3 linked regions of the Lonchura striata genome follow. The protein of the gene in region 3 purifies or fractionates together with the protein of the main gene of each other region. This does not show direct contact. Links are inferred from orthologs where the notes say so. Each region holds a gene or a part of one and is shown on either strand. Other genes may lie near its edges.

Region 1 (7,833 bases), on a different chromosome or scaffold from region 3:
GTGCATTTGGAGAGGCTCCTCAGAACTGGGACTTTCCATTTCTTTATCATATGAAGGTTCTGATGGGCAGCTTTTAAGCCTGGAAAAGCGACCAGTAATGCAGCTGGGAAGGTCATGAGAGGCTGGTGGAGCTGCCTCATCCTGTCCCACAGTACAAACAAGTCCAGACATTCCTGCATCCCATAGGATCCACCCAGTTTTAGTGGAATGGCTTAAAGTGAGGGAGCAGCAGCTCCCCTCATGTCCTTCATGCACCAACACCACCCCAGTGCCTGAATTCCTGCCAATAACCAGAGCTCCTGCTAACTAAATGTAAACTGTGGCCCCAAGTGTTTGCAAAGTTTCTATCCAGTGCCTTCATCCAAAGAGGAGCCTCCATGGACTGGCACTCCATGACTTGGTCCTTTCTATCTGCCTTGCACAGGAATCCTGACCAACATGTTCCTGGAAGCCAACATCTATATTCAAACCTGGAGAACAGGGGAGAAGGAGCCTTCATGCTGGATTTGTCAGCAAGACATAGACATCCTGGCTGCAATGTTCATGGCAAGAGACAAAAATTTTTAAAAAAGGAATAGCAAATATATTATATATATATATACATACATACATATATATATATAAAAACAGGAAACAAAATGCATCCTTGCACTGCTGCTATATGCTGGAAACAAATAGCAAACAACACCACCAACAAACAAAGGCAACCCTCTGCAGATAAATTGAAGAATTTCGTGGATTGGTGATCAAATCAGATTTAAAAAGTCGTAATAATAACCATAATCTTGGTAACAATACAATAAGCCACCATCTTGCATGTTACATGAAAGGACACACAATCATGAGTTCATTTGTTGCACACTGAATGGAAAGGAAAACTGCTTTGCAACAAAGCAAGTAAGCAAACTGAAGTTAAAAACCACAAGCAGAAGCAAAACCATTCCCCACCTCTGGAAAGAAGAGAGAAAAACATTGAAGTTATGACCTTAGAGTTATTTTCCAATTCACAAGTGTCATTTCGCCCTTCTCCTCATTCCATGCTGGTTTTTTGCATTTTTGGGGGGGTTCTGTTAACTTTTCCCCTTCCCTTCCTTATCTTCTCTGTGCACTTGTCCAACCTCTTGTTCTCTGAAGGTATTTAGGAATTGGTTTCATTTCAAACAAAAGCAAATGATATGTACATGGTTTCTCATCTCTAACGAGCAGCCTGTGGGGTTTCATATGGATGTGCATTTCAGTTCTGTATATTATTCTATATAACGGAGGGGGAGGGAGGGAACAATGCTGAAATAATTCAACAGTGATGGTACAGACGGTGCCAACATTTTGAAATTGTTAACTCATGGATTGACTGTGGTTGGGGTACTTGGAGACCCAGATCACACATGGGACTCTGAGTCCCACAAGAAGGAATGGGAAAGGTTTTGGCTGCTGCTGGCTGGGGGGAGGGGAGGGGGCAAAGGACAGGAATGTCCTGCCGGTGGTCTGCAGTGTGTGGTGGCGAGGTTTGGAGGGGCACGGAAGGCTCCAGCTCCAGCCGTAGGCACGATGGGCTCCCAGCCCCCGAGCCAGAGCTGCCCCCAGGGTCAGCGGGGAGCGAGACGGGAGCCGCAGGGCTCGGGGCTCCCTGCAGGAGCCCTGCGGTAGTGGGGTGGCTTTGCTTTGCTTCTGGTTCCCAGTAGGGCAGGTTCTTGAGTTTTTTTGTAGGGTCAAAGGCAGAGGGGCTGTTTGTGCCCTGCCTCCCCCACTACCAGGGGTGTGATGGCAGAGGGCTGGGGACAGCGCTGGCAGGGCCGTGGCAGTGCTCCCCTGTCTGCCTGGGGATGGGCAGGGCAGGGAGCGTGCTGTGTCCATCCCTGCAGAGTGTCCCCAGCGTTCCAGGCTGGATGGGAGAGCCCAGGAGGCGTCAGTGGGGCTGCTCCCAGCTCGGCCTTCAGCCACAGGCTCCCTCCAGGGCTGCCTTTGGAAGGGGATCGTGGGCCAAGCCCAGGGCCCCATACACTGTGAACCAGGCAGTTCAGGTAGGCTCCCAACCAAAACCAGAAAGGAAAGGAAAGAAATGGGTTTCCTTCTTGGAATTGTTTCTAGCTCCTGCAGAAACCGAAGGAGCCATGATTCTGCACCATTTTGCCTTTAGTCTCCCACCCCTCACACAGGCTGTGCCCAGGACCAGGTGTGTTCTGCCAGGCCTTGCCAGGGCTCACAGGATGCCCGAGCAGGAGCTCCTGAGCCATGAGGATGCCGTGGGCAGACCCTGCTCCCACCTGCGCTGTCCCAGGAGGGAGCTGCTCCCTGGCAGCTGCTCACCAGTGAGTCTGTTCTCCTGGCAGAGAGGCTTCTCCTGCAAGGCATGGAAGGCAAGAGCACAGGGGCTGCTGCCAGTGCCCATCCCCAGCTGCCAGCCACGTGTCTCCAGAGAGCACAGCCCCAGCCTAGCAGCACTTAGGGCAGTTGCAAAGAGGCTCCTTTTCTCTCGTTTGTTTTCCCAATGCAGCCCAGCCAGCTGTGCCCAGCAGAGGCACTGCCAGAAGTGGCAGAGGGCCGGGGTCTGCCCCGTGCTGGCGTTCACCAGTACATGTCACAATTCAGGGCCAGGGGAGCCCACCTGGCTGGGGCCCCTCGCCAGCCCACCCGAGGCCGCTGTGACCCTGCAGAGTTGCTTCTGGTGTTGTGCCCAGCGTGGGAAGCCAAGGCTCCCATGGGATTGAGTAGACTGAGGCTCCCTGTGCACTTGGGCTGAGGGAGTTCTGTTTGCAGTGAGCAGCCCCTGGCTCCCACAGCGTGTTCATCAGTGGCACTGTCCAAACCTTTTTTTTTTTTTTTTTTCTTAAAAGAAAATAATAAAAGCAAAGAAAAAAAGCTCACTGCTTGTTCTCCTGGTGACTTGCAGCTTTCTGCTGCTCAGCCCCAGCCTGCCCATCACCACTCTCTGTTCTGGATAGCTGGTCACTGCTTTTTTTCTTCCAGGGGCCATTTCTGTGGAAAGGGGTGGAAGACATGAGTGCCTGTTTTTACCCAATCCCACAAATTCATTCTGAACCTGGCCTGCAATTGCATGAGTAATAACAGTAACAATAATAATAATAATAATAATAATAATATTTATTTTTATTTGAGAAGCACCTTACCAACCAACTGCAACGCTCTGTTGTTCCTTCACTAACTCTCCTTTTCTCTTCCCTTGTTCTCCCTCACCCCCTTTGGTCATACTCCTTTTCAGTGCTCAGTGGTGTATGCGTGTGTGCTCACTGTTCTTGTATTCAATAAAAGTGAAATAAATGTGTTTGATGCTAAATCAGCCTGGGGCCTCGGTTAACTCTTTCCTGTTGAGAGGATGGAGACGTGAAGAGGGAACCTTGCAACAGGGAGCACTGCACATGGAAATACCAGGCTTTGTCTAAAGAGAAGATTGTAGAAATCACAGAATCCCAGAATGGTTTGGGCTGGAAGGGAATATAAAGCTCATCGTGTTCTATCCCCTGCCACAGACAGGGTCACCTTTGACTAGACCAGGGTGCTCCAAACCCAATCCAGGCTAGCCTTCAACAATTCCAGGGATCCAGGGGCAGCCACATCTGCTCTGGCCGACCTGTACCAAGGCCTCCACACCCTCACAGGGAAGAATTCCCTCCCAATATCCCATCTAACCCTGCCCTCTGGCAGTGGGAAGTCATTCCCTATGTCCTGGCATTCCAGGCCCTTGTCCCAGGTCCTTCTCCAGCTCTCCTGGAGGCCCTTTAGGCCCTGCAAGGGGCTCTGAGCTCTCCCTGGAGCCTTTAATTTTCCAGCTGAGCACCCCTGGCTCTCCCAGCCTGCCTCCAGAGCAGAGGGCTCCAGCCCATTTGAGCATCTCCATGGCCACCTCCGGACTCATTCCAACATCTCTGCGCCCCTCCAGCGTGAGCTGGACGCAGTTCTGCAGGTGGGCTCTCAGCACACCAAGGGCAGATGATGTTGCCAGGTCGGGAATTGCGGCTGGTGGAGCCGGGAGCGGCTTCGTGTGGCAGGTGCTGAGCCTCGGGCTTGTGAGAATGCTCGGGGTGCGGGAGGCAGAGGGAGCTGCCCATCCCTGGGGACCCCGGCCCTGTCTTGTCCTGGAAGGGAGGACGTGGTGCTGGGACGGTGTCTGTGTCACAGTGAGGGTCTCAGTGTCTGTCCCGGGGGCCTCTCGCTCCATCAGTCCCAGGCACGGCTCTTGTCCGTCTGTCCCGCTGCGGGGCTGGGAGCACGGGGGGCCCAGGGGAATGGCAGGCAGCTGGAGGGACTGGCGACCGGTTTGGGGGACAGCGGGTCAGCGGGGGCAGCCGCCAGCCACGGAGAGGCAGAAGGGAGCAGCGGCGGGCCGGGGGCTGAGGCTGGCCGGCGGGGACAGGGACGGAGCGGCACCGATCGGGAGCAGTTCCCGCAGGCGGGCCGGGGCCGGGGCCGGGGCCGGGGGGCCGGGGCCGGGGGGCCGGGGCCGGGGGGCCGGGGCCGGGGCCGGGGGGCCGGGGCCGGGGCCGGGGCCGGGGGGCCGGGGCCGGGGCCGGGGCCGGGGCCGGGGCCGGCGGGCCGGGGCCGGGGGGCCGGGGCCGGGGCCGGCGGGCCGGGGCCGGGGCCGGGGCCGGGGCCGGGGCCGGGGCCGGGGCCGGGGCCGGGGGGCCGGGGCCGGGGCCGGGGGGCCGGGGCCGGGGCCGGGGGGCCGGGGCCGGGGCCGGGGGGCCGGGGCCGGGGGGCCGGGGCCGGGGCCGGGGCCGGGGCCGGGGCCGGGCGGCGCGGAGGCTCCTCCCGCGCCGGGCCCGGATGTCCGGGCAGCGCCGCCGCTCTCGGTGCGGCCCGGCATGGCGGCTCTGCGGCCGGACCCCGAGCTGGCCCGGCAGCTCTTCTTCGAGGGCGCGGCCGTGGTGGTGCTGGACGTGCCCGAGGGCACCGAGTTCGGCATCGACTACAGCGCGTGGGCCGTGGGGCCGCGGTTCCGCGGCGTGAAGATGGTGCCGCCGGGGCTGCACTTCGTGCACTGCAGCGCGGCCGGCGCCGGCGGGCGGGACGCGGGGCCGCGCTCCGGCCGCTTCCTCAGCCTGCGGCGCCGCGAGGTGCGGGTGCTGCGCTGGGACCCCGCGGGCGAGGCCGTGCGGCCCGAGCCGCCCGAGCAGGGCGAGGCGCTGCGGGACAGCCTGCGGGAGCTGGACCCCTTCCTGGGGCCCTACCCCTACGAGACGCTGAAGAAGTGGGTGTCGCTGAGCAGCTTCATCAGCGAGGCGGCGGCCGAGGAGCTGCAGCCCGAGAGCGGCCAGATCTGCGCCTTCGCCGAGGTGCTGCCCGAGGCGGCGGGGCGGCACACGCGGGACCGCGCCGGGCAGCGCCGGCCGCCGCTGGGCGCCCAGTGCCGCAGCTACGCCGAGGGGCTGGCCCGCCTGCCCCGCATGCGGCCGCGGGCCGGCACCCAGATCCGCTTCTCCGAGCTGCCCCGGCAGGCCTTCCCCGACGGAGCCACCCCCGAGGAGATCACCCGGCACAGCATGGACCTGAGCTACGCCCTGCAGCGGGTGATGGAGCAGCGCTACCCCGGCCGGCCGCTGGGCCTGCTCGGTGAGCGCCCGGGAAATGGCATTCCTGTGCTCCAGGTGGGACCTCTGCCGGTTCCCTGGCGCGCCGAGGGCTCTGCGGCGCAGGACAGAAGTTTGGGCAGTTTCTGGCATTGCCTGCAGGAGACTGAGGCCGGAGCTGCAGCTCCTCCCGAGGGGCAGCTGCCATCTCTCTTCTGTGTGACCAGGGAGAGCACCCGAGGGCCTTCAGGGGAAGTTTAGCTTGGATATTAGGAAAAGGTTCTCCCCCCAGAGGTGCTGGCACTGCCCAGGCTCCCCAGGGGATGGGCACGGCCCCAAGAGCTCCAGGAGCATTGGGGCAGCGCTGCCAGGGGTGCCCAGGACGGGGTTGTCGGGGGGTCTGGGCAGGGACGGGGGCTGGGCTGGGTGATTCTTGTGGGTCCCTCCGGACTCAGGATATTCTGTAATTCTGTTCTATGGCTCTGGTGTGGGAACGTGGTGCTGCAGCCCTGATTGCCCCGATGAAGTCAAAAGCAGCCGTCACAAGTGGCCCTGGCACCTTAGCTGTTCAGGGAACATCGTGAGGACATCTCTTACGGAGTCCTGAGAGCACCGAGTGGGGATGGGCACCCCCGGCCCCTTCTTCCTGCTAGGTTGGGCAGGAGCTGTGGGCCTGGTGGTTCCTACTGCAGGGCCCGGCCCCTCCTGGCCGTGCTCCGTGTGCTGCTGGTGGCAGTGACAGTGACAGTGGCAGTGTCCAGGCTGTGCCAGCCCTGCTGTGGGGGCACCACACCTCCCGGAGCTCAGCTGTTCTCCAGCCTGCTTTGCAGCCTGTGATACAAATAAATGCTGGGTTTGTGGAGGTCCTAGAGCAGGGTTTTGTTTTGTTGCAGGATGGAGGGAGAAGCCCTCCCAGGTTTGGAATAAGCCTTCGTTTGTCCCTTCTTCCATTTTTTTTGTACATTAACATTATACAATTTATTCTTCTTCAAAATTACCAAAGACAACTGTAGGATGTAGAGAGAACAAATTGCCTTAGGGAATGGTGGGAAAACAGCTGATACCAAGCATCCAGTGTGATGAACCCTGGCTCTTAATTCAGCAAGACAAACACACTCGTTGAGGCACTGCTGATCTCTCCCAGAATTCCAGGACAGTGCTGTTTGCAGTCCCATGTTGTGCTGGACACTCAGCACTGGCAGGCTGGACACTCAAAGTATAATAGCAGGGTCTGCCTTGATGTTTGGGGCTGTTTGGTGTTGTTTGCTGTCTGTAGAGTCCTTCTCCAGTGCTGATAATCACAGTTACAGGTGACCTGCCCCGTTCTGCTTTGTTTTGCTCCAGCTGAAGAGCAGTACAGGGTCAGTGTTTGAGTATGCACTTGAGGAATGCACTTTGCAAAAGCCAAACCAGAGTTTAGAAACCATTTGCAGAGCTTTGTGTATGACACATTCACAGGATATCTGTTTAGTCTTACATGTTTTGTTTTGTTTCCCTTCTCTGAACCCACACAGCTGAGTTGCAGTTTGCCTTCATTTGCTTCCTGATTGGGAATGTGTACGATGCCTTTGAGCACTGGAAGAGGCTCCTGAACATCCTGTGCCGCTCAGAGGAGGCCATAGGGAAGTACCAAGACCTTTACATCAACCTCATTTCCGTGCTCTATCACCAGCTCAACGAGATCCCAGCAGATTTTTTTGTGGACATTGTCTCCCAGGACAACTTCTTAACCAGCACCTTACAGGTGTGTTTGTGGCTGTTCCCTGGGAAGTTGAGTGGGAGGGAAGGCAGTGTCAAATTTGGGGTGAAACTGCCAAAGGAATTAAGCTGCATGGGAGACAGGAACCTGTCTGAGCACACAGGGGTTATTTTGACTTTTTCCCTCTGTTATTCAGTAAGAAATTCAGCTCAACAGCTACAAGAGAGGCTGGGCAAGTGCAGTGTGGTGTCTGTTTGTTTAATTTTTCCAGAATGCCTTTCATTCTTGAAAAGAAAAAACAACAACAAACCTTTGGCATGAAGGACTGATGATGCTGATTTTTGGAATGGTGTGCTCAGTGTGCAGGGAAGCTGCAGCAAAGCCTTAGTGAGCTAAGGGCAGTGATAGTGTTTAAGCAGCTTTTCCATTCCTTAGCACAGCTGAGGATTTCCTGTAGTCAGGTTCTTCTCCAGAGGGAATTTATGGTTATTCCAAAATGCAAAAGATGCTGCTTCTGCTGAGACAGGTGGGGCAGATGTGTAGCTCAGCCCCAGTGAAAGCAGTTGCTCCACTACTGGTGACAGTGCTGGCAGTGCAGCAAACTGGCTT
Region 2 (7,467 bases), on a different chromosome or scaffold from region 3:
AATCAGAGGTTGTCGAAGCTGTAACTAAGAGTTGCAATATTCTCTCAAGAGGGAATAAATGCAGCCAGCTCTCCCATGGCAGAGCTGTTGATGGTGGAGGTTTCTGCAGAGGAAAGCACCCCCACTGCTGGATGGGGCCGCACCCTCCTGTGCCTGCCAGCTCCGCTTGCCGGGCTCAGGGATGAAGGATGTGTTGGTGGCTGTGCTCACATTCCTGCTCTGAACCACTGTTTCCTTTGCTGGGCATGACAGCACGGCCCTTCCAGTTAGGGGAAGAAAAAAAGGTGAGTCTTTCAATAATCTCAATTCACTGTGGGGGTTGTGGTAGGGCTGGGAACTGTGGCTGCACCAGTGGAATGACAACCCCGAGGGAGGAAACATCTGCCACCAGTGAGTGCCGAACCGGAGAGGGAAACAATGACCTACCTGACCAGCTCTTGAGTAAGCTGTCAACACAGGCTAGGAACCCCAAGTCCCATAAGTACCACGCTGTGCACCTGAACTAGATAAAGGCTGCATATTTTTCCTGACCACTCCTCAGTTTCAGCCTGGGGAGCATCACATTGCCTTGCACAGGGCATTACCTAAGCAATGGGATGCAGAAGTGCTGTTCGGGGCGACTCCTTCAGCTGACCTCTGGCAGCCTGATGCTTTCACTTCAGTGCTCAGAGACCTGGAGCAAATAGAAAACACCTCCCAGGTGCTAAAACTGCTGCATAACTGAAACCCACCTTGTTTTCACACTTGCAGACACATTAGAGGGTATAAAAACTTTGCAACCACTGTGAACTGCCTGGTGTTTCTCACTGGATTTAGATGACCCAGCTCAAGAGCTAATGGTTGGAAGTAACACTTCTAATTACAGTTTAATTACACCTTTTACATTTTTTTTTTACTTTTTTTTTTTTTTTTAAGTGTTTCTTGGCCCTGCTTTGCTAGGGCATTCCCTCATGCCAGAACACAGCTTTGCTGAGTACTGAGAGGTGTTGGTGTTGGGCCAGGCGAGATGGCATGCACACAACACCCTGCCTGCTGACTGCCAGCAAACTGCTGAGATTTCCTCCGGCAAGGATTCATGCTGTTAATGCAAGGCTCAGTGTTGGTTGATGTTGCTCCCACAGCTCTTGTTGGAACAAGAGATCTGGGGAGTTTTAGGGTTCTGTGGGGTTTTTTTGTTAATGCTAACTTCAAGGTCACTGATTCCAGTGACCTTTTTCAGCCTTTCATTGCATATTTTTTTTTAGTATCAGGCACTTTGGGACAGGGATAGGGAAAAGGAAAAAGCAGCAAGATTGGGAGAAAGGTTTTCTTGGTGCAAATATTCTGTAGTTAAATCAAAATGAACAGACACCCCCAACTGTTTTTGTTTCTTTTAAACAACTGGAGTAATTGCAGAGAGTATTAATTTTGCTCATAAAGGATTTTCCCTCCCACACATGCAATATCTCTAACAAAAAAAAAAATAAAGGGTTGTGGTGTGTCCCTGCAGGTCCTCTATAGGCTGGCAATAACATTGTTATTGTGAAGAATAGAGTTGATAAAGACCTTCATAGCCTGCCTGCATGCATTAAAACTCACTCCACGGGAACTAATTTTATGTAGTTACCTTAGGGGAAAATAGCACCAACATGGGTAAACAGCACTGGAATAAATCTAATCTGCTTGCAGGACCGAATGAAAGTACAAAGTAAAACAGGTAAGCAAAGCTTAATGTAGAAGAGAGGTGGTATCAAACACTGAATTCTGAAAACCCACCCCACAAGGGATTTCAAAGCCGTTTGTAGGGTATCATTCTGGCAAATGGGAGAGGACAACTCATTTATTTTCTTCAGGCTGTACCAGTCTGGCTTGGTGTGACTGCCTTCTCCCAGCAGAGAAGGCTGCAGTGGTCATGACTCTGCTGTTCCTTTCTGCCTGCAGGAAAATACTCCTTTCCCACCCCACCTCCCCTCAAGAGCTCCAGCATCAGCTGCATGTGGCCACATCTGAGTAACCCCCACATTCCTTCCAGATGCAGGAGATGTTGAAAAAATGCATCTTGCTGCTCTATCTGGCTTTCAGGATCTGGGTGGCTGTTGGGGAATAATGGCCTGCTGCTTTCCTATAGCCCTGAGGAGAGGGACCAGTGGTCTCTACCCCACACACCTACCCCAGGCTCCGAGGGCAGGAGCAGCAGCAGGAGCCTGCCAGGGAGCAGTGGAAACATTTACTGGACGGGCCAAAGGAGAGATTTATTTGCAGGAAAGGAGCAGGAGGCGCCTACGATGGGGCTGAGGCTGCTGTGCATTTTCACATGCCACCCCCACACACAGGGCTTCCTGCAGACACATGGAGCCATCCCTGCAAATGAGCCGCCCCTCAGAGCCTGCACGCTGGATACAGCCTGCTCATTTGGATGATGGCCTGTCCTGCAGCCCAGTTCCACCTTCCAGCCCCCTCTTCAAGCCACTCAGTTCAGTCCAGCAAGGGGAAAACACTTTCCCATCTGTTGGTCTTCAGACTCTGACTCATTATTTTTATTTCAGCTGTCGCCAAGCAATAGCGAAAGTCCCAACACAGCAGCATTTCCACTGCTGCAAGCTGCCTTGTCCTCAGCCACCGGAGAATGAGCAGCTCAGCCTCAGCTCTCCGCTGCGTGCGATGCCAAATATCACAGAATCTGTCACAGAATAGGCTGAGCTGGAAGGGATACACCAGGATCATCAAGTTCAACTCCTAAGTAAATGGTGATCAAACCCACAGCCTTGGGTTTTGGTAGCACCATGCTCTAACCAGCTGAGCTAATTTCATGACTAAAAAAACAGGAAGGAAGGAAAGAGTACATTCAGGTTTCTTAGTCATCAATACACACAGCATCCAGGCAAAGAGTGAGAACTTGTAGCCTCTGGAAAGGGAGACATGGAGCTGGTCCCTGGAAGCACCCACATCCACAGGTGACAGGGACACTGGAGGCGGTGTTGCCCCTTCCTGCCCCTTTAAATCTCTCATCTAACAAAGAACCAAGACTCAAAACAAGACAGGATCTGCAACAGTCTGTTGTACCCGGTCTCCTCTCTTACAGAAATGGGATGTGCCACGGCTTACTCCACATCCTTTTTCTGCCTGCTCCTTATTAACTCAGAGACTCTCCTGCTGTCTCCCCATCACTCTAGACTGTTACACAGCACTAGCAGCCTTTACCCAGGCTTACTCTTCCTTTTGTTTGCCCGCTTACTGCTCCCCTCCTTTCCATTCCTGCTCACCTACGTCAAGACTCATGTTTTCCTTTCCTCCCTCCATCTGGATACCCACTTGAATGCCTGTGACCGTACTACCATATGTATATATATAAAAAAATACAGGATCACCAAATGGGGAAACACCTCTAGAGCTGCTCTGAAACTACTGCATGACTCCAGCTAGACAGGAGGCATTTTGCAATAACCTCATCACTGCTGCCAAGTGTGTTCCAAACACAGACCTCGTGTCATAAATTACTGTAATTAGCAACACTCCAGCAGGCAAAAGTATGTATTTAAAAACGAAGGATGCACATGAAGTGACTGCAGTTTATATTATGTGTGAGTCACGGCGAGGCAGAGCTTGAAGGGAGCCAGTGAAGCTCCTGCAGCCACAGCATTGTCTGGCACAATCCTTTCCAGCACAGCAAACCTTTTCCTAAACACAGGGAAAACAAGCTGAATAGTGAAGCCTCTTGGGAAATGTATTTGCGCTGAAAATTTCAACTTTTTTTGCTGAAATAAGGGGAAAAACAAAAATCTAGTCTCTTTGGCCGGCGCCAATAAAACATTTTCAGACAGAGCCCCACTTCTTGACACACGCGCAAAAAATGTTCCTCTGGGACGGAAAATGGAAACTTTTTTATTTGGATGGATAGTGGTTTTATGCCTCAAGTGACTTCGGGTTTTCTGGTTTGAGAATAAACACGTAAGAGAGAGGAAAAACAACAACAACAACAACAAAAAAAGAAACCAAACAAAGCAAACAGAAAACTTCGGATGTGTTCGTGGTGGCCAAGCCCTGCTGTTCCGATGAGAACAAAAGCTGTGACATGGGTTTTTTTCTAGACTGCGACTGCGGAAGGCGGCGGCGGTGCCGTGTCCGCCCCTCACGGCGCCGGGGCGGCCCCGCGGCTCTCCGGGGTGCACGGGCGAGCCCCGCACCGAGCCCCGCACCGAGCCCCGCACCGAGCTCCGCACCGAGCCCCGCACCGAGCACCGGGCCCCGGGCCCCGAGCAGGGCCCGCACAGGCTGCGAAATGTCGGCGCCGCGGTGCGCCCTGGGAGCTGTAGTCCCGCCGCGCAGCGCCGCCTCGCCCCGCTCCCCGGCTCGCAAAATGTCCTCCGCCGAGGCGAGACGGCCGCCTACAACTCCCAGCAGCCCCGAGAGAGGCGGGGCGGGGAGGCGCCGGCCCTTTCCGCGCCGCGCTGCCCGCCGGGAGCTGTAGTCCTGCCGCCGCCGTGGCCGCCCCGTGGAGCAGGGCAGAGGGACTCGGTGTCCCGGCGCGCCGCGGGCCGTGGGCGGAGGTGGGCAAGGCGGGCGGCTGCTGTGGAAGTGTGGGGCTGTGCGGTGTCGGGGTACGGGGGCTCCCCCTTCCATTCCCCCCTCCCTTCGCCTCCCCGGCGGTTCGCGCTGCGTGCCCGGGCGGGTGGCGGTGGCCGGGGCGCAGGGCCAGCGAGGGCCGCGTGTGGGGCGGGCGGTTCGCATCCAGCAGCATCCCGGGCCGCGAAGCGCTCTGGGGCCGGGACGGGCAGCACAGCCGGGGCCGCACCATCACCGTGCCCAGCGGCCGGTGCTCTTTTCCCTGTTCCTCTTCGCTGTTCCTCGGCGCGGGGGCCTGCGGATCCCCGTCCCGAGGGGCTGTGTGGGCTTTGGCGCGGCCCGTGGTCGCGGTTTGCGGTGTCTGAGGTCTCCGTCCTCCGCACAGAGCAGCGCCAGGATGGAGGAGCCCGCTGGGATCGTTCCCATCCGGAGGGACGTCATGCTGCCCGAGTCGTGCTGTGATCGCGTCACCGTAACACACCTGTGAGTGGGTCTGGTGTGCTGTAAGGGCCGGCATGTTTGGCCACCAACTTTGTTAAGGCCAAAACATCTCCTTAGGAGCAGAATTTCTCCTTTCTGTGTAAGTGCCCTCAGACAAGACATGGCCCTGATGATCACTTCTATTGCCATCTGAAAACAGCTATTTTATTTAATTGTGCACTTCGAGGCCTTTTCTGAGTTGTAGTCATTACTTTTCATATGTTCCAAAACTAAGCAGAAGGCTGTATCATTTTAAGAAGATTATTTCCCACTAGGAGTTACATGGAGGGCAGTGTTTTCAAAAGTAGCCATCAGATCCTTTCTGTCAAAGACAGCCAAACTTGACATGGAACATAGCACTCCTCAAAAGGTCTCTGTGTTTTGTGATTCATAACAATCTGGCCCTAAATTTGAACGTGACGTTTCTTTGAAAACAAAAGTCTCTGTTACCCATGGTCTTAATACTTAGCAGCACTTAATGTTTACAATGCATAACTATTATTTTTGTATCTTAGCTGCATTTAATACTGTTTATTTACTCTTTTGCACATGCAAATTACAGCTTGATTTTTTTTAAAACCTCCCTTCTGTTCTACAGGATAAAGTTGGCAGTGTGAATGTGAAGGCTGGGTAAATATACTGGTGCCTATGTTATTAGGCTGTGTGCTGTTCTTCTGCCAAAAATTCAGTAATATCTACAGACTTTTATACCACTATGAGTTTGTGTCAGATTTAGAACCCAGTTCTGCAGCTTTGGATAATTCAGGGGGACAGAATTATTTTTAAAACTACATTTCCAGTATCATGATGGAAATGTTTATTTTCTAGGGTGGAAGTGCTGAGATCTTTGGTGGCTTTAACTGACCCTCAGGAGGGAAAGCTGACTCAGTCTCAAGAGAAAGTGAGTGACTAACAGACTGTCCATGTCTGTTTACTGCATCGTTACAGAAGAGCCTATAATTAGGTAGTCAAGCTTATTCTAATAATATGTTAGAACTGTTTCCATAATTCACGTGAGCTGAACCAAAATGTGTGTGTGCACCAGCTCTGTTTCCAATTGCCCAGCAAGTGGTAGCTGGGTCATCGACCGCCAGAATTCAGCGAGATTCCCTTCAAGCAGGTGGCACTGTCAGGTGTTCCAGCTGCTCCTGGAAGTCAGGCTTCAAATCATGCTGTCATTTACTGACTGAAGGGCCAGCTCTTGCAGGCCTGTGGTTGCAATCTCTCCTAGTTTCCATGTGTGAGCCTGGTATGTGTAATTAGATTTCTTAATCCAATGGGATTGATTTCTTGAGCTGGCTGGTTTTCCAATTCCTGGAATCTAGTAATGACTTAAGAGAATAAAACCAAAGGAAGGAGTGGAGTTTGTATTTTATGCCACATTTAAGCAGGCTTAAAACAGCGGCCCTTTTATTTTTGTCATCTGTCACTGATGGCTGTTGGGACAGCAGGTACAGTGCTAATGCAGTAAGGGTTGTACTGGCCACAGGCAAGTGTGAGAAATTGGATGTGTTTTTGTGGATTTTTACAGTGTGAGTAAACACAGTGTAATATGCAGAGTCTTGGAAGATGTACAAGACAGGGATTCAGATTAACTCAAGAGCTTTATGTTCATCTTTTAGTAATTGCATCTGATGCAACCTGTAATGAAATTTGGTAGCATTACTTTCAATTACTTCATATTCTTCTATTCAGTCTTGTGTAAATCTTTAATTTTAATGTGCATTCATTCCTTAAATAATGCTTTCATTTGAAGCAAAATTGCTTGGGAATCCCTAAAGCACAGCTAACTGTTATATTGCAGTTATAATTACTTTGCATGACACAGAGTGATGGTCTCATTCTTGGTTCTCATTTCACAGTTAAGTTTTTATGCTCCTTTGTATTCTAGGCACTAAATTTGCTGGGCATTTGGAAAAGCGTATTTAGAGTTGTTCCTGGGCCTACATCAAAGACCTCAGTGGAGTGACAGCTTGAAGATGGGAGACCAGGAGGCAGGTGAACCTTTTCTGGGGATAGTGGCTGATGGTGGCAAAGACTACGAAGGAGCTCTGCCCTCAGACACGGTGTCACTCAGCGATTCTGACTCTGATGACTTGGGGCTGGTGGGTGAAGCAGAAGTTGATACAATATCTCCTGAGGAGCCATCTGTAGATGAAGGGGATTTCAGATCAGGAGAGACACCCGACTCTTCAAACAGCGGTCACAGATCTCCTGTCCAGCCGTTCCATCTGAAGGGCATGAGTTCTACCTTCTCTCTCCGTAGCCAGAGCATTTTTGATTGCCTGGAAGAGGCAGCCAAGCTGTCTGTGCCCTCAATGGCTGAAGATAACATTGTTGATGGGAGGTTTAAGCGTCCATTGCCTCCGACCACAGTTTCAGGTAACATGGTCCCAGAAAACTTGGGAAGGCAAGCCAGAGCAGTGCAGGCTCCCAAAACCTCTC
Region 3 (7,912 bases):
ATCCCCACAAACATCCACACCCCCAGAAGAGGGAAGAGGCTCCTGTTCCTTCTCCCACCTTGGCTTCTGCCTCCTCTTCTGCCTTCTTCTTTGCCAGCAGCTCCTCCAAGGACAGCGGCTGCGCCTGCAAGAGAGGCCAGACATCAGCACCGCTCCTGGAATCCCCTGGAACCACTCCCCAGGGCCCTCCTGGAGCCACTGCCACACCCTCCCCACCTTCTCCTTCTTCAAGGCATTTTCCTCCTCTTCCTCTGCTTTCCGGGCCTCCCGCTCCTTCCGCGACTTGGAGTCCTTCCCCCTGCCCGGGGACAAACTTCCAAGGAAAACAGCATGGAATAAGAGACACCACCAAGCACAGCCCTGAGGGATCTCCAACCTCCAGGGGGTTTAGGGGAGAGCAGGAACCCCTCAAAGAAACGGGCAGGACCCACCTGGAGCGCTTGCGGTCCTTGTCCCGCCGGTGCCCATCCTTGTCCCTGTCCCGCTCCTTCTTGCCGCGGTCCCGGTCGCGCTCCTTGTGCCGCCGATCCCTGCGGGATGGGGGATCAGAGCCCGGCCCCACAGCCCTCACACCCCCCTTCTGGGGTTTTGGGGGGCCGGGCAGAGGTTTGGGTTCAAACAGCTGAGATGTGGCTCGTTTGGAGATTTCCTGGCCAATGCAGCAGTGAGCGGGGTGGGCTCAGTGCTCCTGCCAGCGTGCAGGAGCACACAGAATCACAGGATATCATTATTTGCAGTGCTTTTATTAAGAGCTTGGAGTCAGGGGTACAGCCCCAAATCTGACTCCGACACCCATTTTGAGCTGAATGTATTTTATATTCTATCCTTCTATAACTTAGACATTAATTTGCATATTAATTATTACATTTACATTGTTTAGGAACACAAATAATCACAGGATATCATTACCTGCAGGTATTTTTATTAAGGGCTCTGGGAATCAGGGGTACAGCCCCAAATCCGACTCCAACACCCATTTCAAGCTGAACATATTTTATATTCTATCCTTATATAACTTAGATATTAATTTGCATATTAATACATTGTTTAGGAACACAAATAATCACAGGATATCATTATCTGCAGGTGCTTTTATTAAGGGCTCTGGGAGTTGGGGTACAAACCCAAATCTGACTCCGACACCCATTTTGAGCTGAACATATTTTATATTCTATCCTATATAACTTAGATATTAGTTTGCATATTAATTATTAAATTTACATTGTTTAGGAACACAAATAATCACAGGATATCATTATCTGCAGGTGCTTCTATTAAGAGCTCTGGGAATCAGGGGTACAGACCCAAATCTGACTCCGACACCCATTTTGACCTGAATATATATTATATTCTATCCTTCTATAACTTAGATATTAATTTGCATATTAATACATTGTTTAAGAACACAAATAATCACAGGATATCATTATCTGCAGGTGCTTTTATCGTTACATAACTCACATATTAATTATTAAACTTATATTGTTCTGTTGTACACACTGACATGAGTTTCTCATCATCTTTCTTAGCTCACTGACCACAGTTTCTCATGATTATTCTTATGATTAAACAATAATTATATTTAATTACTAAACAATCATCACATCTAACAATATTTCAATTAGCATGTCCTAGCTACACAGTGCAGTTGTAGCAAGTCCGAGTTCTCCATGTGCTTAAGGAATTTATTTTTCCAGGACTTACTAAGCTGATTTTTCCTTTTAACCCTAAATCCCCACGATTTTAAAACCCTTTTACTATCACTCCCCATCCCCAATTCCTGCTGGGAGGCAGGGTTGGGAGGCAGCCTCAAACTTTAAAAGGGAAGCTAGTTTTAAAATAAAATACCGTTATTAGTTTTTTCTTTGTGTCCTCTTTAAAAAGGTATTTAAAAAGCTTATTAATTTTTTCAATAAAAATTTGATTTTTTCAATTAAAAAATTCATTTTTTAATTAAAAAAATGATTTTTTTTAAATTAAATAAATATTTTTTTAATTAAAAGAAAAAACAAGAATAATCAGAACGTTTCTCCTCCCGCTTTCCTTTCCCGTTGCCGAAGCCTTCGAAGCCCCGGGGCTGCCTCACCTCTCGGTGGATTTGGAGCGGGAACGGGAACGGGAACGGCTCCGCCGCCGCTCCCGGGATCGGTGCCGCTTCCGCTCCTTGGCGGGGGAGCTTTTCCGGTCCCGCTCCCGCTCCCGGTCCCGTTCAGGGGAGCGGGAGCGTTTCCGTTCCTCCTTCACCGGGGATGAATCCCGATCCTTCTTGTCCGCCAGTTCTCCGGCCATCTGCGGGGGGATGCACCGGGAGGGTCGGGGACGCACCGGGAGGGCCGGGGGACGCACCGGGAGGGTCGGGGACGCACCGGGAGGGTCGGGGACGCACCGGGAGGGCCGGGGGACGCACCGGGAGGGCCGGGGGATGCACCGGGAGGGCCGGGGGATGCACCGGGAGGGCCGGGGATGCACCGGGAGGGCCGGGGATGCACCGGGAGGGCCGGGGGATGCACCGGGAGGACCGGGGAATGTACCGGGAGGACCGGGGAATGTACCGGGAGGACCGGGGGATGCACCGGGAGGACCGGGGGATGCACCGGTGAGAGTGGCGAACCTGGGAGACGGAACAGAGGGACCCCAGCAAGGAGCGGGAAGGGCTGGGGGGCCCCGAGGAGAGAACGCAGAGGGAAGGGGGGACCCCGAGAGGGCAGAGGGAGCCCCGGGGGGGGTGGGTGCGGGGAGTCCCGGGGAGCCCCGGAAAGGCTCCGGCCGGCCCGGGGGACGCGGCGCAACGGCGCTCCAGGCCCTGCCGCCGGTGCCCAGCAGCGGGGCGGTGCCCGGTGCCGCTGCTGCAGGGCTCTCCGGCCGCCTGGGCCCCCAGGAGGTTCCCGCAATGCCCCTCGCTCGCTCCCGCCGGTCCCCGCTCACCGCCGCGGCCCCGGGTTCAGCGCCGCCGCTCCGCCGCCATGTCTGCCGCGCCCGCGGGGCACGCCGGGACGGCGCGGGACTACAGCGCCCGGCAGCCCCCGCGCCCTTGGACTACGACTCCCGGCAGCCTCTGCGCCCTTGGACTACGACTCCCGGCAGCCTCCGCGCTTTTGGACTACAGCTCCCGGCAGCCTCAGCGCCCCTGCGCGGTCGCAGTACCGCCGCGCTCCGTGATCCTTCCGCCGCGCGGCAGCGCCCCCCTCCCCATGGCAAAGAGTCCCCCGGGACGGTGTCCCCGTGTCCCCGAGCCCCCCCGCAGGCACCTCCTGCTCACCCAAGTGAGGTCCCAGAGCACCCCAAATCCTGGGTGGGCCCCTCCCGAGTCAGTGTCCCCCATGTCCCTGCGCACCCCAAATCCCACGGGGACCCCCCCAGCCCTGTGCGCCCCAGACTGGCCGGGGACCCCCGAATCAGAGTCCCTGCAGGAGCCCCAGACCCCCACTGCGTCCCCATGCACAACACAGGGGGGTCCCAGGTGGAGTCTGGGGGCAGGAGAGGTGGGGGGACCCTTTTGGCACCAACCCCCCCCCACCAAAGACACCCAGCCAGGGATTCTGCCTTCTGCACCAGCACCCAGGGGTGACAGCACAGCCCCATGTCGGTGTCACCATCACCAGTGACACCGACACATCCCGAAAGTCCCAACAGCCTCCAAAAAGCAGAATCCCTCCCCAAAGCACAGGGCCAGGCAGGGCTGCACATAGGTAGGTGTTATATTTCTGATAATAAATAAGCTTTTTAATAACACTGACATGGAACAGAGACACCCCCCCCCCCCAAAGACAGTCCATAAAACAGCCCCCCACCCCCCTCCCCAACCCACAGGGTCCCCCAGGGCCAAGCAGCAGATGAGGGGTGGGGGAAAGGGGGAGAGAACAGGATGAGTCCATGGATGAGTCCCATGATGTGCACCCCAAACCCCACAGGCATACCCAGGACAGGGTCCCTGCGTCCCCCAAACCCTGCAGTGACCATCCCAGGTGGATGTCCCTGAGGGTCTGGAAACCCCAAACCCTCCAGGGATCCCCCTGGTTGATGTGTCTGGGGTCCTGTGTGCCCCAAAACCCCCAGGGACCCCTCAGGGTTGATGTCCCCAAGGGTCTGGGCACTCCAAACCTTCCAGGGACCCCCCTGGTTGATGTCCCCAGGGGTCTGGGCACCCTATGGGTTGATGTCTCTGGAGTCCTGTGTGCCCCAAAACCCCCAGGGACCCCTCAGGGTTGATGTCCCCAAGGGTCTGGATACCCCAAACCCCTATGGGTTGATGTCTCTGGGATCCTGTGTGCCCCAAATTCCCCAGGGACCCCTCAGGGTTGATGTCCCCGAGGGTCTGGGCACCCCAAACCCTCAAGGGACCCCTCAGGGTTGATGTGCCTGGGGTCCTGGGCACCCCAAACCCCCCAGGGCCCCCTCAGGTTTGATGTTCCTGAGGGTCTGGGCACCCCAAACCCCCCAGGGACCCCTATGGGTTGATGTCTCTGAGGGTCTCGGCACCCCAAACCCCACAAGGACCCCTCGGGGTTGATGTCCCCAAGGGTCTGGGCACCCCAAATCCCCCAGGGACCCCTCAGGGTTAATGTCCCCAAGGGTCTGAGTACCCCAAACCCCTATGGGTTGAGGTCTCTGGGGTCCTGTGTGCCCCAAATCCCCCAGGAACCCCTCAGGATTGATGTCCCCGAGGGTCTGGGCACCCCAAACCCCCCAGGGACCCCCTCAGGGTTGGAGACCGGGGTGAAGACACCCCCCAGACCCCCTCCCCACAGGGGCAGCCCCCAAGGCTGTGGGGCTGGCGGGACAATAGCAGCACCCCCAAACCCTCCTTTTGAGTGGGGGGGGGGGGAGCTCCAGACTCCAGAACCCCATCCAGCCCCCCCACCCCATTCGGGGGGCTTCGGGAGCGGAGCGGGGGGTCCCAAAGGTGATCGTGGTGTGTATTTAGCGGGGTCATTCCTTTCCCCCCTTCACATGACGGAGCAGCTTTTTGCTTTTTCCTTCTTGAAGGCGGAGGAGATGAGCTCGGAGCGGCTGGGGAGGTGCAGGAGGCGCTTGGAGAGGCTGCGGGGGGGGCTGCGGGGCGGCGGGCGGGGGGCTCGGCTCAGGCAGAGCCCCGAGGCGCTGCGGAAGATGCTGTGCACGCTCTTCTCCGACGTGAAGGCCGAGCACTCCAGGTACCCCTCGGCACCCAGCTGCCGGGCGGCCGCGCAGCCCTGCGGGCAGGGGACGGGGCAAAGTGAGCCCCAAAACAGCAGGATAAACCCAAACCCATGGGGACAGCCCCAAAGTAAGCCCCAAGACAGCAGGACAGCCCAAAAAACCCACCAGGACGGCCCAAAAAACCCACCAGGACGGCCCAAAATTGAGCCCCAAAACCGTGGGACAGCCCCCAAACCCACCCCACACCATGCAGCCCTGCGGGGAACCACCCCCGGCAGGCAGGGGATGGGGCAAAGTGAGCCCCAAAACAGCGGGACAGCCCCAAACCCATGGGGACAGCCCCAAAGTGAGCCCCAAAACAGCAGGACAGCCCAAAAAACCCACAGGGACAGCCCAAAAAACCCACCAGGACAGCCCAAAACTGAGCCCCAAAACAGTGGGACAGCCCCCAAACCCACCCCACACCACGCAGCCCTGTGGGGAACCACCCCCGGCAGGCAGGGGATGGGGCAAAGTGAACCCCAAAACAGTGGGACAGCCCAAAAACACACCAGGACAGCCCAAAAAACACACCAGGACAGCCCCAGACCCACCCCACAGACTCGGGACAGCCCCAAAACCCACCCGGACAGCCCCAAACTGAGCCCCAAACCCACTGGGACAGCCCCAAACCCACCCCACCGACTCGGGACAGCCCCAAAACCCACCGGGACAGCCCCAAACTGAGCCCCACAAACACCCCAAACCCATCCCACAAACACCGAGACACCCCAAACTGAGCCCCACGAACACTGGGACCCCCCCAAAACCCAGCAGGACACCCCAAACCTGCTCGTAGGAGACGGGCGCCTGTTTCTGGTGCGAGAGCTCCAGCAGCGTGCTCAGGTCCGTCCTCAGGTCCGTCTTGCAGCCGATGAGCAGCACCCGCGTGTTGGGGCAATAATCCAAAATTTCCGTCTTCCACTGAGGGGTCGAGGCACACAGCTGCTCTCAGGGCAACCCCAAAAACCTCTCCCCACAGAGGCACCCCCCAGGACAGTGTCCTGACAGCCCTGAACCCCCAAACCCCACAGAGATCCCCCTGCATTGGTGTCCTCCCATCTCGGAGCCCCCCAAACCCCACGGGGACACCTCGGGGTGGTGTCCCCACATCTCTGAGCACCCAAAACCCCACAGAGATCCCCCTGCATTGATGTCCTCACATCTCTGAGCCCCCCAAACCCCACGGGGACACCTCAGGGTGGTGTCCCCACATCTCTGAGCCCCCCAAACCCCACGGGGACACTGTCCCGGGGCCTGAGCCCCCTCCCCACCTTCTTGGCCGCACTGTCGAGGGTCTCGGGGCGGCTGACGTCGAAGCAGAGCAGGACGGCGTCCGAGTCGCTGTAGCACAGGGGCCTCACGTTGTCATAGTAGGGAGAGCCTGGGGGAAAATTGGGGGGGTCACAGCTCAGCCCCCCCACCCCAGGGACATGGGAAAGGGGGTCTGGCTAAGGGACACGGCCCCTCAAATGGGACACAGCCCCCCAAAAGGGACAGAGGGACACACAGCTCTAGAGACCCCCAAAAGGGACAGAGACCCCGGTCCTGCCCGGGGTGAGGGCACGGCTCTAGAGACCCCCAAAAGGGACAGCTCCCCAAAAGGGACAGAGACCCCCAAAAGGGACAGAGACCCCCAAAAGGGACAGAGGGACACACAGCTCCAGAGCCCCCAAAAGGGACACAGCCCCTCAAGAGACACGAAGCCACCTCCTGCCTGAGGTGGCGTGCACCGCCTTGGAGCCCCTCCCCAAAAAAAGACAGAGCCCCCCAAAATAGACACAGCCTCACTCCTGCCCAGCATGAGGGTTCACAGTTTGGGAGAACCCCAAAAGGGACAGGGGAGCACAACTCTAGAGCCCCCCAAAACAGACACAGAATCTCAAAAGGGACAGGGGGGACACCGGTCTAGACTCCCTTAAAAAAGACAAATCCTATTCATGCCTGAAGTGTGTGCACCGAGCTCTAGAGCCCCCCAAAAGGCACAGAGCCCCCCCAAAACAAACACAGCACCCCAAAAGGGACAGAGGGACACACAGCTTTAGAGCCCCAAAAAACAAACACAGTGCCCCAAAAGGGACAGAGGGACACACAGCTCTAGAGCCCCCCAAAAGGCACAGACACCCCCAAAACAAACACAGCTCCCCTCCTGTTCAGGGTGGTGGCTCACAGCTCTAGAGAACCCCAAGAAGGACATAGGGACACACAGCTCCAGAGCCCCCCAAAAAGGACACAGCCCCCCAAAAGGGACAGAGGGACACACAGCTCTAGAGCCCCCCAAAACAGACACAGCCCCCCAAAAGGCACAGACGGACACACAGCTCTAGAGCCCCCCAAAAGGCAGAGACCCCCAAAACAAACACAGCAAGAGGGACGTAGGGACACAGCTCCAGAGCCCCCCAAAAGGGACACAGCCCCCCTGGGGCCGGGGAGAGGGGCACAGCTCTGGAACCCCCCCAAAACGCCACCTCCGTCCCCGCAGCCCATCAGCTGCATCGCGCCTTGGCGAGGCAGCGGGAAATGGAGCCCGCGGTGTTTATGTAACATCCCCCCCGCCCCCCGTTTTGGGGAGCCCCGGCAGCACCCAGGGGTGTCGGGGTTGGGGGGGAGAAGCCGGAGGAGGGGGTGGGACACGCTGCCACCCCCTCGGGGTCCTCGGGGACACGGAGCCACCAGCACCGCACCGGGGACCGCGGGGGTCGCGGCGCGGGGGAAAGGAGGGTGCGGGAAGGGG

Evidence for each region.
Region 1: the proteins of DDX23 (region 3) and AAR2 purify together in Homo sapiens (affinity purification with mass spectrometry; 3 studies listed by BioGRID and IntAct, counting the BioPlex papers as one, with this or other methods). This does not show direct contact. The link is inferred for Lonchura striata from reciprocal best matches to the Homo sapiens genes DDX23 and AAR2.
Region 2: the proteins of DDX23 (region 3) and TSSC4 purify together in Homo sapiens (affinity purification with mass spectrometry; 3 studies listed by BioGRID and IntAct, with this or other methods). This does not show direct contact. The link is inferred for Lonchura striata from reciprocal best matches to the Homo sapiens genes DDX23 and TSSC4.

Annotation. Positions count from the first base shown.
Region 1 is NC_134619.1:13,898,715-13,906,547, forward strand, and holds the start of AAR2 (protein AAR2 homolog), read left to right. Parts: upstream 1-4,800; 5' UTR 4,801-4,820; coding exon 4,821-5,568; intron 5,569-7,039; coding exon 7,040-7,269; intron 7,270-7,833. Other genes in the region: EPB41L1 (band 4.1-like protein 1), read left to right, coding at 425-433. UniProt on the Homo sapiens protein: Component of the U5 snRNP complex that is required for spliceosome assembly and for pre-mRNA splicing.
Region 2 is NC_134608.1:47,077,450-47,084,916, forward strand, and holds the start of TSSC4 (U5 small nuclear ribonucleoprotein TSSC4), read left to right. Parts: upstream 1-4,398; 5' UTR 4,399-4,526; exon of another isoform or gene 4,527-4,577; intron 4,578-4,927; exon of another isoform or gene 4,928-5,122; intron 5,123-5,850; exon of another isoform or gene 5,851-5,923; intron 5,924-6,913; 5' UTR 6,914-7,001; coding exon 7,002-7,467. UniProt on the Homo sapiens protein: Protein associated with the U5 snRNP, during its maturation and its post-splicing recycling and which is required for spliceosomal tri-snRNP complex assembly in the nucleus.
Region 3 is NC_134629.1:6,086,600-6,094,511, reverse strand, and holds the start of DDX23 (putative ATP-dependent RNA helicase DDX23), read right to left. Parts: upstream 3,006-7,912; 5' UTR 2,926-3,005; intron 2,290-2,925; coding exon 2,087-2,289; intron 531-2,086; coding exon 432-530; intron 314-431; coding exon 217-313; intron 125-216; coding exon 59-124; intron 1-58. Other genes in the region: RND1 (rho-related GTP-binding protein Rho6), read right to left, coding at 4,947-5,192, 5,968-6,102, 6,453-6,562. UniProt on the Homo sapiens protein: Involved in pre-mRNA splicing and its phosphorylated form (by SRPK2) is required for spliceosomal B complex formation.